Linked DNA regions of Macaca mulatta. The protein of the gene in region 1 interacts with the protein of each later gene in a pairwise test. Links are inferred from orthologs where the notes say so. Each region holds a gene or a part of one and is shown in the gene's direction. Other genes may lie near its edges.

What was found.
Region 2: the proteins of AP2B1 (region 1) and AP1M2 interact in binary tests that used the Homo sapiens proteins (3 or more experiments, as listed by UniProt). The two-hybrid records come from large-scale screens. The link is inferred for Macaca mulatta from reciprocal best matches to the Homo sapiens genes AP2B1 and AP1M2.
Region 3: the proteins of AP2B1 (region 1) and CLTC interact in a two-hybrid assay, tested with the Homo sapiens proteins (2 studies listed by BioGRID, with this or other methods). The link is inferred for Macaca mulatta from reciprocal best matches to the Homo sapiens genes AP2B1 and CLTC.

The regions. Positions count from the first base shown.
Region 1 is NC_133421.1:45,075,298-45,080,668, forward strand, and holds part of AP2B1 (AP-2 complex subunit beta), read left to right. Parts: intron 1-2,998; coding exon 2,999-3,134; intron 3,135-5,371. UniProt on the Homo sapiens protein: Component of the adaptor protein complex 2 (AP-2). Adaptor protein complexes function in protein transport via transport vesicles in different membrane traffic pathways.
Region 2 is NC_133424.1:11,302,176-11,307,546, reverse strand, and holds part of AP1M2 (AP-1 complex subunit mu-2), read left to right. Parts: intron 1-1,805; coding exon 1,806-1,962; intron 1,963-2,203; coding exon 2,204-2,271; intron 2,272-4,653; coding exon 4,654-4,784; intron 4,785-4,891; coding exon 4,892-5,039; intron 5,040-5,073; coding exon 5,074-5,260; intron 5,261-5,371. UniProt on the Homo sapiens protein: Subunit of clathrin-associated adaptor protein complex 1 that plays a role in protein sorting in the trans-Golgi network (TGN) and endosomes.
Region 3 is NC_133421.1:50,304,653-50,310,023, reverse strand, and holds part of CLTC (clathrin heavy chain 1), read left to right. Parts: intron 1-118; coding exon 119-353; intron 354-2,884; coding exon 2,885-3,007; intron 3,008-4,390; coding exon 4,391-4,536; intron 4,537-4,771; coding exon 4,772-4,955; intron 4,956-5,152; coding exon 5,153-5,345; intron 5,346-5,371. UniProt on the Homo sapiens protein: Clathrin is the major protein of the polyhedral coat of coated pits and vesicles. Two different adapter protein complexes link the clathrin lattice either to the plasma membrane or to the trans-Golgi network.

The DNA.
Region 1 (5,371 bases):
TTTAGTAGCCTCATGTGACTAGTGGTCACCATATTGGAAAGTTCAGGTTTCCAGTTTACAGGTTGGCACTTAACACGTTTTGCTTCTTGCTTGATCTTTGGCTATTAAGTCTTCTTGACCTTGTATAGATTGCTAGAATTAAACTATTTAGGATCTTAAATTTGTTATTGGTTAATGTTTCACATTTATTTACTGGTTATGGTTGTTTTGTGCATGAGCTAGTCTAGGAAATAGAAAACACATTTTTGGAGAGTGGTTCTTAGTATTTACTAAATTATCTACATGTGCATGAAACTATGGTGGGTACCATGCATACAAGTGAAACAAATAGTTTGCTTTTTAGGACAGAAGTTACTGGTTCAGTGGAGATATGGTGGATTCTTTGACCTGAGTCCAGCTTCCTTTCTGTGAATAATTTCTACTTCTGTACCCTTTTGTGTGTATAGGATGTATACCATGTGACCAGCTATTCCATTCCCTTTTTTCCCCTTACTTTCCTTGTGGAAATATACCTACATTTGTTTTTCCTTTCTTCTGTGCTAGTAGCAAGATGTTTAGCAGTATTAAAAAATTATAAGGTACTTTGATAAAGCATTGTGGGGAAGATTAATTGCTAACTTCCCGTAAAGTTATATTTATCCTATATTTTAAAGATACAGCTTACACTTTAGAATCTGACAAGCTCAACCCTTCCAAGCTAATGGTGCTCCTTTAAATTTATTTCCTGTGGCTTATAGGAGAATGGTAAATCATGAAATAACTAGAACTTGGGAAAGGTGTAAACTCCTTTTATATTTGATTACTCTCAAATATTCTTTTGTCTGAATATGTAATGTTAAAAAAAATAATTTCACTAAAAGAGAATCAGGACATCTTGGAGGATGACTGATTCTAGGTCTGGGATTAGAAATGTACAAAATGAGCCTGGATGGAGCATCTTGTCATAAAGGAAAGTATGGAAAATACCAGGTCATACCACAAGGATTCAGGAGCTAAGTTCCCACTGGTCAAGAATGGAAGAATATGAACATTAAAAAGTGTAACTGAAGTACTTTGAAACAGTACTAGATTGATATGAAGAATTATTATTCATTTTGCCCTCTTGCACTCCTGAAAGCAAGATGATTCATCAGCAGCTCTACTAGAGCCACCCACGAAAAGTCAGCCAGGGTTCTTGCTGTTGTCGTGTCTGCTGAAACTGGGCACAGTCTGATCTGGAAATTCAGCCTCGTTATATGCCACCAGTGTTTCCATCAGTACGTGAAGGATATAGATTTCATTAAGTTGGACTAAGTGATCTTCCATAAATGGATTATCTAAGGCACCCACCCAATGAGAGAAACCATGTTACCTTTTTGTACATAAAATAAATATTTTAAAATAATTATTGTTATTATTTATTTATTTATTTATTTTTTGAGATGGGGTCTTGCTCTGTTCCTCAGGCTGGAGTGCAGTGGCATGATCATGGCTCACTGCAGCCTCTGCATCCCAGGCTCAAGTGATCCTCCCACTTCAGCTTCCTGAGTAGCTGGGACCACAGGCGCACACCACCATGCCTGGCTAATTTTTAAAATTATTTATACAGACAAGGTCTCACTGTGTTGCCCAGGCTGATCTCACACTCCTAGGCTCAAGCAGTCCTACCACCACGGCCTCCCAAAGTGCTTGGATTAAAGATGTGAGCCACTGGGCCTGGCTTTTTTGTTTTTGTTTTTGTTTTTGTTTTGGATGTGATAAAGGTAGTGGAAAAAAAAAAAAGACACTTGGCTGGGCATGGTGGCTCACATCTGTAATCACAGCACTTTGGGAGGCCGAGGTGGATGGATCACCTGAGGTCAGGAGTTTGGGACTAGCCTGGCTAACGTGGTGAAAACCGCTCTCTACTAAAAATATAAAAATTAGCTGGGCGTGGTGGCGCACACCTGTAATCTCAGCTACTCAGGAGGCTGATGAATTAGAATTGCTTGAACCTGGGAGGCGGAGGTTGAAGCAAGCAAAGATCGTGCCACTGTACTCCAGCCTATGTGACAGAGTGAGACTCTGTCTCAAAAAGAATAAAAAAAGGATTCTTAAGATATACATTAAAATATTATAGATGAAGCTGGGCACAGTGGCTTATGCATGTAATCCCAGCACTGAGATTAACATTTTTCATAATAAAAAACTTATTCTAAAACTATATAGAGACCTTGTTGAGAACAGCACTACAATTTTTTTCCTATTTTTTTTTGGCTAGGGACAAGGTCTCACTCTGTCATCCAGGCTGGAGTGCAGTTATGTGATCATGGCGCACTGCCGTCTCGACCTTCTGGGCTCAAGTGATCTACCTGCTTCAGCGTCCTGAGTAGCTAAGACTGCAGGTGTGCACCACCATACCCAGATTTAAAAAAAAAAAAATTGTGGAGACAGGATCTCGCCATGTTGTCCAGGCTGGCCTTGAACACCTGGTCTCAAGTGATCCTTACAGCCTCCCAAAGTGCTGAGATTACAGACGTGAGCCACCATGCCTGGCCTATAGTTTCTTTTCTTTTCTTTTCTGTTTTTTTTTTTTTGAGATGCAGGAGTCTCGCTCTTGTTGCCCAGGATGGCGTGCAATGGCGCGATCTCAGCTCACTACAACCTCTGCCTTCCAGGTTCAAGCGATTCTCCTGTCTCAGCTTCCTGAGTAGCTGGGATTACAGGCATGCAGCATCATGCCTGGCTAATTTTTTGTATCTTTAGTAGAGATGGGGTTTCTCCATGTTGGTCAGGCTGGTCTCAAACTCCCGACCTCAGGTGATCCACCTGCCTTGGCCTCCCAAAGTGCTGAGATTATAAGTGTGAGCCCCCGTGCCCAGCCAGTTTCTTGAGTAATTCATTTCTGTGACAGTTACCACTGTGGGGACATTTGTTCTTGCATCAATCACTCTGTTAGTTAAGGCTATTCATATTCTGTCCAACAGGTTGGCACCAACACCTGCTTACTTTCCTTTTCTCTTTTGCCCTCTCTTCTCAGTTCTCTCTTTCCAGACGTAGTGAACTGTATGCAGACTGACAATCTGGAACTAAAGAAGCTTGTGTATCTCTACTTGATGAACTATGCCAAGAGTCAGCCAGACATGGCCATCATGGCCGTGAACAGCTTTGTGAAGGTAACTTTTCCCAAGGCCTCAAGAACAGAGTCTGAATTGCAAATAAGTAACCTTTGTTCACAAGGAAGGAGTGTAGGGAAGTGTTGGCAATGACTAGGAATGTTCATGTTTTTAGCATTCTGTATACCAGTGTGTGTCATCCAGGGAAATTCAAACCATGTGCTGAGCTTTCTGTTAGCGGGACTTGGTGCATCCTTGACAGATGGGTAGAAGAAAACCTGGTGAAACCTCACTGTTTTACCTTCTAAGGCTGACAAAGGTTGGGCATATCATTGTAGTATCAGTAACTGGCGGCTTTACCTGTTTTATCTTTGTAGAAATTATGCTTATGAGTCAGCAGTAGTGGAGACTGTAGGAGTTTCTACTTTTGTTTCATTTAATAGGTCTTACACCATTTGATTTTTTTTTTTTCTTTTGATACGGAGTCTCACTGTGTCACTGAGGCTGGAGTGCAGTGGCACGATATTGGCTCACTGCAACCTCTGCCTTCCAGGTTCAAGTGATTCTCCTGCCTCAGTCTCCCAAGTAGCTGGGATTACAGGTGACCGTCACCATGCTCAGCTTATTTTTGTATTTTTAGTAGAGACAGGGTTTTACCACGTTGGTCAGGCTAATTTCGAACTCTTAACTTCAAGTGATCCACCCACCTCGGCCTCGCAAAGTGCGGGGGTTACAGACACGAGCCACCACTCCCGGCCTGATTTATTTTTTTTAATGGAAAATTTTAAACATATTCAAGAAAAAGGACTAGTATAATAAATTCATAAATGTTCATCTTGCAGTTTTAACAGTTACCGACACGTAACCACTCTTGTTTATAATCCTCATACATATTTTCTGACCTCCAACCCTCTCTCCTGCTGGATAATTTTAAAGCAAATCCTAAGCATCATATATTAAATAGTTTTGTCCTTATATTTGTCAAGATAAGATATTCTTTTTAAACATAACCACAATATCATCATGTCTTTAAAAATGGACAAAACATTTTCTTATTATTGAATATCCAGTCAAATCTTTCCTATCATAGATTTAAAGAAAATGATAATGGGATCGTTCCCATTAATTTTTATTTATTTTTATTTTTTTTGTGACAGAATTTCGTTCTTGTTGCCCAGGCTGGAGTGCAATGGCACGATCTCAGCTCACCGCAACCTCTGCCTCCCAGGCTCAAGTGATTCTCCTGCCTCATCCTCCCGAGTAGCTGGGATTACAGGCGTGCGCCACCACACCTGGCTAATTTTGTATTTTTAGTAGAGATGGGGTTTCACCGTATTGGCCAGGCTGGTCTTGAATTCCTGACCTCAGGTGATCCACCCACCTTAGCCTCTCAAAGTGCTGGGATTACAGGCGTGAGCCTCTGTCCCCAGCCTAATGTTTTTTTAATAGTTGTTTTTTCTGTTTGGAACTTAGTGTACATTTAAAAAAATCAGACAGCATTTCTAAAATTAGCTTCTATTTAAAATGTTTTGAAAAATGTGCAATATGCCTTCTTCTTTCTCATGGACTTTTTGTTCTTTTCCTGTGTTTAGCTACGTTGTAGAGTTAGAACATAACAGTTTGTTCTCTGTGATTGGTGGTTCACAGGTGGAATATATCATTGAGAATAATTTAGTTTACATTTTTTGGAAGTTAGAGTTGTGCATGGATTTATATGGGCTTAAAGACATTTTTTAATGTAGGGCAGTTTAAAAGAGTGTTCTTTCTCCATATTCTATTTACTGTATTTGGAAGCGCTTGCTAGTAAAAGAGAATGTATGTCAGTCAAGAACTCAGAGGGCCCTCTCTGCTGCGTAACTCCAGGTACTTATTTCAAGCCCAGACTGGCTCCTGTGCTCCCCTTTGTTTTCTTGGCTGCAGGCCCCAGAAATCTAGCTCACTTTTCTCTCTATTTGATGCTTGGGAACTCACTGTGGAATAGGGCACGGTCTTTCTTTTTTTTCTGTGCCGGAATACAAGCCCAAAAGCTTTTCCTGTTTTTAGGGCAGATCCTAATGACTGTGGGATGGTACCAATTCCCTAAGCCTCTGCCTGGCACTGGAATGAATCCTACTGAGCTGTTTCTCATTTTGTATTTAAAACAGTTAAATGACTTCCTCACCTAAACTCTTAAATAGGGCAGCTAAGATTTGTACCAATAGTGTGGAAGATTGGAGCTCGTGTAGAATGTATGTGGAAGCTTAAATTAATGAGGTAATTCTTTTGCAGCTTATGTAAACTGGACTGTTTACTTTTAG
Region 2 (5,371 bases), on another chromosome or scaffold:
TCCCGTTAATATTAATAGTGAGAACTAAGATGTTTGAGAACCTGCCATGGGTCCTCCCTGTTCAGATGCTGGATGAAACAACCTTAGGAAGTAGTAACTCTTTTTTTTTTTTTGAGACGGAGTCTCGCTCTGTCACCAGGCTGGTGTGATTTCAGCTCACTGCAACCTTCACCTCCTGGGTTCAAGTGATTCTCGTGCCTGAGCCTCCCGAGTAGCTGGGATTACAGGCATGTGCCACAACACCCAGCTAATCTTTATATTTTTAGTAGAGACGGTGTTTCACCATGTTAGCCAGGATGGTCTTGATCTCTTGACCTCATGATCTGCCCGCCTCAGCCTCCTAAAGTGCTGGGATTAAAGGTGTGAGCCACCACGCCCAGCCAGAAGTGTTCACTATTATGGATGGCTTCCTGACTACCAGGCACAATCATATGAACAATCATTTTTCTTTTTCCTTTTTTTATCCTTCTTCCTTTCCTTCCTTTCCTTTCTTTTTCTTTTCTTTCGTTCTTTTCTTTCTTTCTTTCTCTCCCCTTCCTTCCTACCTTCCTTCCTACCTTCCTTCCCTCCCTCCCTCCCTCCTTCCTTCCTCCCTTCCCTCCTTCCTTCCTTCCTCCCTTCCCTCCTTCCTTCCTTCCTCCTTCCTTCCTTCCTTCCTTCCTTCCTTCCTTCCTTCCTTCCTTCCTTCTTTTCTTCAGGGTCTCACTCTGTTGCCCAGGCTGGAGTGCAGTAGTATAATCACAGCTCACTGCAGCCTCAACCTCCTAGGTTCAATCGATCCTCCTGCCTCAGACTCCAGAGTAGCTGTGACTACACAGGTGCAGGCCACCATGCTCAGCTAATTCTTGAAATTTTTTGTAGAGGAATCCCGCTATGTTGCCAAAACCGGTCTCAAACTCCTGGCCTCAAGCGATTCTCCTGCCTCGGTCTCCCGAAGCAGTGGGATTACATGAGTGAGTCATTGCACCTGAACTTTTCTTTCTTTGTCTTTTTCTTTTTTTAAATAATCCCACTTTGGTGCAAATGAAGTCTGGGGCAGCAGCAGGGATTCTGGACCCAGGATGACTTAGATCAATCGCCAGTTTCCATATGCTTCCAACGGACATGGTTTCTAACCTCACTTCTCCTATGTGAAATTGAGATGATGATAACATCTACCCCACAGGGTTGTGGCAAGAACTAATAAGTTAGCAAACATCTACTCTTGTTTTAGTTGCCTGCCTTCCTGCCTGCCTGCCTGCCTGCCTTCCTTCCCTCTCTCCCTCCCTTTCTCTCTTTCTTTCTCTTTCTTCTTTTGAGACGGAGTCTTGCTCTGTCGCCAGGCTGGAGTGCAGTGCCGCGATCTCAACTCACTGCAACCTCCGCCTCCCAGGTTCAAGTGACCCTCCTGCCTCAGCCTCCCGAGTAGCTGGGACTATAGGTGCGCATCACCACATCCAACTAATTTTTTGTATTTTTAGTAAAGACGGGGTTTCACCATGTTGGCCAGGATGGTCTCGATCTCTTGACCTTATGATCCACCCGCCTCATCCTCCCAAAATGCTGGGATTACAGGCATTAGCCACTGTGTCCAGCTGTCGCCTACTCTTTACTAAAACACAGCCTGGTGCTTAGTGAGGGTCCTAGACCCATTTAGCTGTTATCATCACACTCCCATTTTATAGAGCGGGAAACAGGCACAAGGCGGCAGAGCCTTGCCCGAGCCCCTCAGCTAGGAAGTAGGGTCAGAACCGGGCACTGTGCCCCCACAGCGTGGTAGGTTCCTGGATGCTGGTGGTGACCAGGTCCTTTCCTCCCACCCTCAGCCGTTGATCAGCCGCAATTACAAGGGCGATGTGGCCATGAGCAAGATTGAGCACTTCATGCCTCTGCTGGTACAGAGGGAGGAGGAAGGCGCCCTGGCCCCGCTGCTGAGCCACGGCGAAGTCCACTTCCTATGGATCAAACACAGCAACCTCTACTGTATCCACCCCACGTGGTGTCCCTGGGGGTGGGTGTGGGGGGTATTGGCGATGGTGGCACCTCAGGCCGAGAGAGGGTGGGCTGAGGACAGGCGTTGCCCAGCACATCTCTGTGGCTCAGGCTAGCGGGCAGGGGCAGGTAGAGATGAGGGCGGTGGCAAGGGACAGGGTGGAGGTTCAGGGTCTGTATTCCATTTACTCCTCCATAAATGACACCTTTTCCTTAACCTTGCTGCCCCCAGTGGTGGCCACCACATCGAAGAACGCCAATGCCTCCCTGGTGTACTCCTTCCTGTATAAGACAATAGAGGTAGGTACTAGCGTCCCATTGGCTGACTGGTCTATCTGTCTACCCCTCTTGCCAGCCTCTTTCAAAATCCTTTTCTGATAGGAAGCCTTCCCAGATCTCTCTGGGCCTTCTTTTTTTTTTTTTTCTGGTAGAGACGGGGTCTTGCTATATTGCCCAGGCTGGTCTAGAACTTCTAGATTGAAGCAATCCTCCTGCCTCGGCCTCCCAAAGTGTGGGAGCCACCACACTCAGCCCTTCCCTGGGGCCTTGTTCGTGTCCCTGTGCATCCACCATCAAAGCCCCATCACTCTGCATCTCATCAGCTACTTATGAAGTCATCTCTCCCTAAAGGGCAGGGACCAAGAATGTCTCAGAGAGTGTACGGCTCAGCTAAGCTGGAAGACTTGGCATCCAGTCCCAGGTTCCCTGCTTCCTCGCTGTGTGACCTTGAGCAAGTGACTTCTTGTCTCTGTGCTTTAAAAAAAAAAAAAAGAAAAAAAGGCCACGCACAGTGGCTTATGCCTGTAATCCCAGCATTTTGGGAGGCCAAGGCGGGCGGATCACTTGAGGCCATGAGTTCGAGACCAGCTTGGGCAACATGGTGAAACCCATTCTCTACTAAAAATACAAAAATTAGCCGGGTGTGGTGGCAACTGCCTGTAATCCCAGCTACTCTGGAGGCTAAGGCAGTAGAATCGCTTAAACTTGGAGGGCAGAGGTTGCAGTGAGCCAAGATCACACCACTGCACTCCAGCCTGGGTGAGAGTGAGACTCCATCTCAAAAAAAAAAAAAAGTCTGGAAGCCCTTCCCCTCCCCTCCCTTCCCTTCTTCTTCTTCTTCTTCTTTTTTTGATATAGCGTTTTGCTCTTGTTACCCAAGGTAGAGTACAATGGTGTGATCTCTGCTCACCACAACCTCTGCCTCCCAGGTTCAGGTGATTCTCCTGCCTCAGCCTTCCTGAGCAGCTGGGATTACAGGCATGCACCACCATGCCCGGCTAATTTTTTTGTATTTTTAGTGGAGATAGGGTTTCTCCATGTCGGTGAGGCTGGTCTTGAACTCCTGACCTCAGGTGATCCACCCCCCTCAGCCTCCCAAAGTGCTGGGATTACAGGCATGAGCCACCCCACCTGGACCTTTCCCTTCTTTTGAGACAGAGTTTCGCTTTTGTTGCTCAGGCTGCAATGGCACAATCTCAGCTCACCTCAACCTCTGGGTTCTCAGCCTCAGCCTCCTGGGTTCAAGGGATTCTCCTGAATCAGCCTCCTGAGTACCTGGGATTACAGGCATGTGCCACCACACCCAGCTAATTTTCTGTATTTGGCCAGGCTGGTCTCAAACTCCTGACCTCAGTGATCCACCCACCTCAGCCGCCTAAAGTGCTGTGAGTACAGATATAAGCCACCATCCCTGGCTTGTTTCTTTCTTTTCTTTTTTTTTGAGACACCATGCCCCACTAATTAAAAAAATTTTTTTTAGTAGAGGCTGGGCACGGTGGCTCACGCCTGTAATCAAAGCACTTTTGGAGGCTGAAGCGGGTGGATCACTTGAGGTCAGGAGTTTGAGACCAGCCTGGCCAACATGGAGAAACCCTGTCTCTACTAAAAATACAAAAATTAGCCGGGCATGGTGTCGTGCACCTGTAATCCCAGCTACTGGGGAAGCTGAAGCAGTAGAATCACCTGAACCTGGAAGGCGGAGGTTGTGGTGAGCCGAGATCTCGCCACTTGCACTCCAGCCTGGGCAACACTGTGAGACTTAGTCTCAAAAAAAAAGCCACCACACCTGGCCTTTTTTGCCTACTTTTTCAAGCATTCAGCACACTTTCTTTTCTTTTCTTTTCTTTTTTTGAGATAGGGTCTCACTTTGTTGCCCAGGCTGGAGTATAGTGGCACAATCTCAGCTCACTGTAACCTCTACCTCCTGGGTTCAAGCAATTCTCCTGCTTCAGCCTCCCTAGTTGCTGCAGTTACAGGCAGGTGCCACCATGCCTGACTAATTTTTGTATTTTTAGTAGAGACGGGCTTTCACCATGTTGGCCAGGCTGGTCTCAAACTCCTGACCTCAAGTGATCTGCCTGCCTCGGCCTCCCATTATTGGGATTACAGGCATGAGCCACCATGCCTGGCCTTTTTTGTTTTTGAGACAGGATCTTATTCTGTTGCCCAGGCTGGAGTGCCTCCTCCAGTGGCATCCTCATGGCCCACTGAGGCCTCGACCTCCTAATAAAATTTTTGTTGTTGTTAGAGATAGGGGCTCACTGTGTTGCCCAGGCTGGTCTGGAACTCACCTCAAGTGATCCTTGTGCCTTGGCTTCCCAAGGTGCTGGGGTTACAGGCATGAGCTACTGTGCCCAGCCCTTAGCCACACTTTTGTGGGTGTCTCTCTCCCCTGACCCCCAGGTATTCTGTGAATACTTCAAGGAGCTGGAGGAGGAGAGCATCCGGGACAACTTTGTCATCGTCTATGAGTTGCTGGATGAGCTCATGGACTTTGGCTTCCCGCAGACCACCGACAGCAAGATCCTGCAGGAGTGAGTGGACCCCTGGGGGCAGGCTGGACTGTGGGTGTAAGTAACTGGAGGAGGTCCACAGAGGTGTCCCTGTGTCCAGCTGCCTGTCCCTACCGCCCTCACTCCAGGTACATCACTCAGCAGAGCAACAAGCTGGAGACAGGCAAGTCACGGGTGCCACCCACTGTCACTAACGCTGTGTCCTGGCGCTCTGAGGGTATCAAGTATAAGAAGAACGAGGTCTTCATTGATGTCATAGAGTCTGTCAACCTGCTGGTAAGCCCGCATACCTCCCCCGCACCCCTTCCAGGGCCTGGCTGCGGGAGAGGGAGCTGGATGCCTGCTGACCACCCCCCACATCCATCCTCAGGTCAACGCCAACGGCAGCGTCCTGCTGAGCGAGATCGTTGGTACCATCAAGCTCAAGGTTTTTCTGTCGGGAATGCCAGAGCTGCGGCTGGGCCTCAATGACCGCGTGCTCTTCGAGCTCACTGGCCGTAAGTATTTAGGGGACCTTTCTTCTGAGAAGTGCACAGGGGAGTCGCAAACCTGGCCCACGTGGGGACTTAGAGAATCGCCGCCGGTTTTGAAATAAGTGCTCCCACGCC
Region 3 (5,371 bases), about 5.2 Mb from region 1:
AGTATGTGAAAGTGAAAGCACGTTGTAGACCATAAGGTATTTACATAGTTAGCATGTCAAGAGTGTGTTATTTATAATGCAGTATGTGTGTGTGAGGTTTTTTTCCCATTTTTCCTAGATTGAAACTGCTTCTGCCTTGGCTAGAGGCCAGAATTCATGAGGGCTGTGAGGAGCCTGCTACTCACAATGCCTTAGCCAAAATCTACATAGACAGTAATAACAACCCGGAGAGATTTCTTCGTGAAAATCCCTACTATGACAGTCGCGTTGTTGGAAAGTATTGTGAGAAGAGAGATCCACATCTGGCCTGTGTTGCTTATGAACGTGGCCAGTGTGATCTGGAACTTATTAATGTGAGTACTGCCAGCTGAATATGTAAAAAAGCTGCATTTTTTAAAACCTGTTATATGAGAGGTTCAGGGTGATTTTAGGTAATATGGGACATTTGGGGACAGTGGGTGCTTTTTAAAAACTTTATTTGCTAATAATTGTGAATCTGAAAGTGCCCAAATAGTGGATAAAGTCTATATACCCTTTATTCTGATTGACTTGTTAATGTTTTAACCCCATTAGCCTTACCATTTGTGTTCTCACACTCTTACACGCAGGCACACCATTGATACGTATATGTTACACACATCTATTATTTTTTAACCACGTGGGAATAAGTTGAATGCATCATGGCCTTATACCCCTTCAGAGTGTATGGCCTAAGAATAGGGATATTCTATTTCATTAACCACATGAAATGTACCAGCTTCAGTCAGTTTGACATTGACAGGATACCTTTAAAAATCTGTTCTATTCTAGTTGTGTCAATTAACCAATGATGTCCTTTGTAGCAGTTTTTTCCCCTCTAGTCTAAGGTTATATATGACATGTAGTTTTCATGTCTCTTTAGTCTCCTGTACTCTGGAATGGTTCTTCAGTCTTTTGTTTTTTATGACACTGATATTTTTGTAAACAGATAGTTGCTTTTTCTATTTGTACTATTTTATATAGGTGAAATTTAAAGCAACATCAAATTAACCATTTTAAAGTGAACAATTCAGTGACATTCAGTACATTTACAATGTTATATAATCACCTTTATCTAGTTCCAATTTTTCATCACTTCAAAAGGAAATCCTGTATTCCTTAAACAGTTCCTCCACATACCCCCTCCTCCCAGCCCCTGACAACCACCAGACTGTACTCTGTCTCTATGGATTCGCCTATTCTCTATATTTCATTTAAATGTAAAGTCTCTTTTTAAAAAATAGAATGTGTCTCATTTTGATTCCTCTGATGGTTCCTGAAGGTTAGATTTAGATTATACATTTCCACCCAGAATACTGCTTCAGTGGTGGTTTGTTTTTTTCTCATGGTATTATATCCAGAAACACGCAGTGTTCATTTGTCCCCTTTGTCAGTTTTTATCAAGTTGTAACATTTCTTTATTATATAATTATTATTACCCTCTTGCAGATATTAAACAGTCTGTAAGTAGACACTTAAGACCATGCAAATATCCTCTTACCCCCTCCCTTAATTTAGCATGTTGATTCTTTTTTTTTTTTTTTTTTGAGACGGAGTCTTTGCTCTGTCACCCAGGTTGGGGTGCAGTGGCGCGAACTCGGCTCACTACAAGCTCCGCCTCCTGGGTTTATGCCATTCTCCAACCTCAGCCTCCCGAGTAGCTGGGACTACAGGCGCCCGCCACCTTGCCCGGCTAGGTTTTTTTTGTACTTTTAGTAGAGACGGGGTTTCACCGTGTTAGCCAGGATGGTCTCGATCTCCTGACCTTGTGATCCGCCCGTCTCGGCCTCCCAAAGTGCTGGGATTACAGGCGTGAGCCACCGCGCCCGGCCCAGCATGTTGATTCTTGCTTAAAACATTCTTAATGTGTTGGTTGCAAAATGAAAAATTTTCAAATTCTAGCAGTTTCTCCACATTTGTCAGTTAACACTCATGCATTCATGAACTCTTGGATTTTATTCGATGGGGTGCAATCCATTACTTTTTATTTTGATGCTCAAATTGTCCCAGCTGGTGAGAACATCTTCAGTCTGTGTCTTTGTGTCATGGGCTCATTGTTCTTTGAGCATTTTAACTTATTTTCTGGCACACAATACACCAAGCTCATTTTGTACCTTCTGCAGCCCTGGAGTCAGTCATTTCTCTAGGGAACCTTTTACTGGGGCATGGTATTAGAAATCAAGATCTGGGCCAGGTGAGTGGCTCACTCCTAGAATCCCAGCACTTTGGGAGGCTGAGGCAGGAGGATCACTTGAGCCCAGGAGTTGAAACCAGCCTGGGCAACATAGCGAGCCCGTCTCTACAAAAAATTACATAATTAGCTGGGGGAGGTACCATGCACTTGGTTCGAAGCTACCCAGAAGGCTGAGATAGGAGGATCACTTGAGCCCAGGAGGTCAAGGTTGCAGTGAATTACGATCGCAACACTGCACTCTCCAGCCTGGACAACAGAGCAAGACTCCTATTTTCTGAAAATACTAGAAGTCAAGATCTGAGCTTAGGTATATTTGCTTCTAAGATCTTTCAGTGGTCAGAGCTAGGAAATAGTTATATTTATGTACATACATATGCTCACTTATGTACATACATGTGCATATACACATGGAAAAATAAACACACAAGAACAGCTAGTAAAACACTGAAAAATGTAAAAGTGGACTAGTCCTACCAGATGTTAAATTGTATATTACAAAGCCTGTATAATTAAAACAGTATATTACTGGTACGTGAATCAAAGTCCAAAAGTAGGTCCAATATCAGTAAGATTATCAATAAACAGAGTTTAAACAATAGGAAATAACCTCTAAAATGCTATAAAAAGTCTTTTACTTTTTACCTTGAAATTGATCTGTCATATCTTCTTTAGGTTTGCAATGAGAATTCCCTCTTCAAAAGTCTTTCTCGCTACCTGGTACGTCGAAAGGATCCAGAATTGTGGGGCAGCGTGCTGCTGGAAAGCAATCCTTACAGGAGACCCCTAATTGACCAGGTAACATTGGCAAACATATTTATGACTGTCAGTAAAAATTATACATTTTTAACTGTGGATACAATCCCCTCATCATATACTCAAATGGATCATATTTAACTAGGAGAGAAAGCAATACAAAGTAGAAGGAAATTAAAATTTATATACATTCAATTTACATTCATTTGTATATAATGAATGTAAATTGATTACGTTATATATAAATTAATGTAAATTTATATAAGTATAAATATGTATATAACATACATTAAGAAAAATAAGCTGCGTGCAGTCACGCCTGTAATCCCAGCACTTTGGGAGGCCGAGGTGGGCGGATTGCCTGAGGTCGGGAGTTCGAGACCAGTCTGGCCAACGTGGTGAAACCCCGTCTCTACTAAAAATATAAAAATTAGCCAGGCATGGTGGCACGCACCTGTAATCCCAGCTACTCAGGAGGCTGAGGCAGGAAAATCGCTTGAACCTGGGAGGCGGAGGTTGCAGTGAGCTGAGATCACGCCATTGCACTCCAGCCTGGGTGACAAGCGAGACTGTATCAAAAAAAACGAAAACACATCCTAAAAGACATGACTTAATTACATAAAACTCTCTCGGTTCATCATAGTTTAAAAGGAAAATAACAAACTAAACAGTAAGGATTGCTATTAACGCCTAAGAAGTGGCTAAATTGATTGGAAACTTCAAGACAATAAGTCAGCAAAAGATAAGGATAAGAGAAAATACAAAAGACCAAGTGCATCTGTTATATCTTACTAACAAGAAGTATAGAACTGCACATGAGATGGGCTTTTATACCTAAATAAAATAGACAACATATTTTAAAAGCTCTAAAAATTGAAGGGTTGTTAATAATGAGTCTTAATATTCTCCTGAAATAAGTATAAATAAAACATTTTGGAAACAAATAGGTTGAAGGCTATTAATATTTCATTCCTTTCCTAGGAAGCATTTCTAAGGAACATTCCAACTAGTTACAAAGCTTCCTAGGGGAAGGATGTGGAGAGGGGGTGGTTGGAAATCATTGCAGCATCTAGAAAGCCATGCAAATAGGCAAAACTAGAAGAATTACTGATACTATAGTTCCACATCTGTGTAGTTGAATTTTGAATTATGTGTAGCCACCAAAGTGATAATGATGATTGCTAGTCTGGATAATGTTTTAATCAGGGAAAAGATAGAAATTATATAATTAGAGTAATTTTTCAAGAGAGTAGAATTACACATATTGTATAGATTTGTGTAGAAAGACCTCTGTGTGTAAATTTAAAGGTCTTTTTCCTACTTCATTCTTTTCTGCCTATTTCAAGTTTTCTAATGAGAGGCCAACTTATCCTTATTTAAAACCAACTTGATTCTCAATACTTATGTCCCATATATCCTCTGTAGGTTGTACAAACAGCTTTGTCTGAGACTCAGGACCCTGAAGAAGTGTCAGTAACTGTCAAGGCTTTCATGACTGCAGACCTTCCTAATGAACTGATTGAACTGCTGGAGAAAATTGTCCTTGATAACTCTGTATTCAGTGAACACAGGTATGCTTTCAGAGGGATCCATTGGCTGTTTATTGTCAGTCTTTAATAATGGCCCATCAGTTTTGGGAAGGAACAAAAAGATCAGAGAAAGTTGCCTGAATTCTCACTCTTCTAATATCCCCCCTCCTTCACTCTATCTCTTGAGACAAAAACCTCTCTATTAGTCACAGTGGTTTTTTTTTATGTCTGATAAACTTAAAATATTGCATTTAAAATATTCTTTTGTTTCTTAAAGGAATCTGCAAAACCTCCTTATCCTCACCGCAATTAAAGCTGACCGTACACGTGTTATGGAGTATATTAACCGCTTGGATAATTATGATGCCCCAGATATTGCCAATATCGCCATCAGCAATGAGCTGTTTGAAGAAGCATTTGCCATTTTCCGGAAATTTGATGTCAATACTTCAGCAGTTCAGGTAAATCTTTAGATTACCTAAGTTGAATTACTAAATGTAATGTCTTCTACTCATTCAGTGTATGCACTGTCCTGTGAGGGTGGGCCTAATTTGTTCCTATGGCAATAGAAGAGCAATAAAATACTAACAGCTTAAATGTAATTGCTCTGGGTAGGATTGATTTTACTCTAACCCCAATTTCAAACTTGGGTACTTAGGTCTTAATTGAACATATTGGAAACTTGGATCGGGCATATGAGTTTGCTGAACGTTGCAATGAACCTGCGGTCTGGAGTCAACTTGCAAAAGCCCAGTTGCAGAAAGGAATGGTGAAAGAAGCCATTGATTCTTATATCAAAGCAGACGATCCTTCCTCCTACATGGAAGTTGTTCAGGCTGCCAATACTAGTGGTATGACTTCTTACCTTATGTATTGA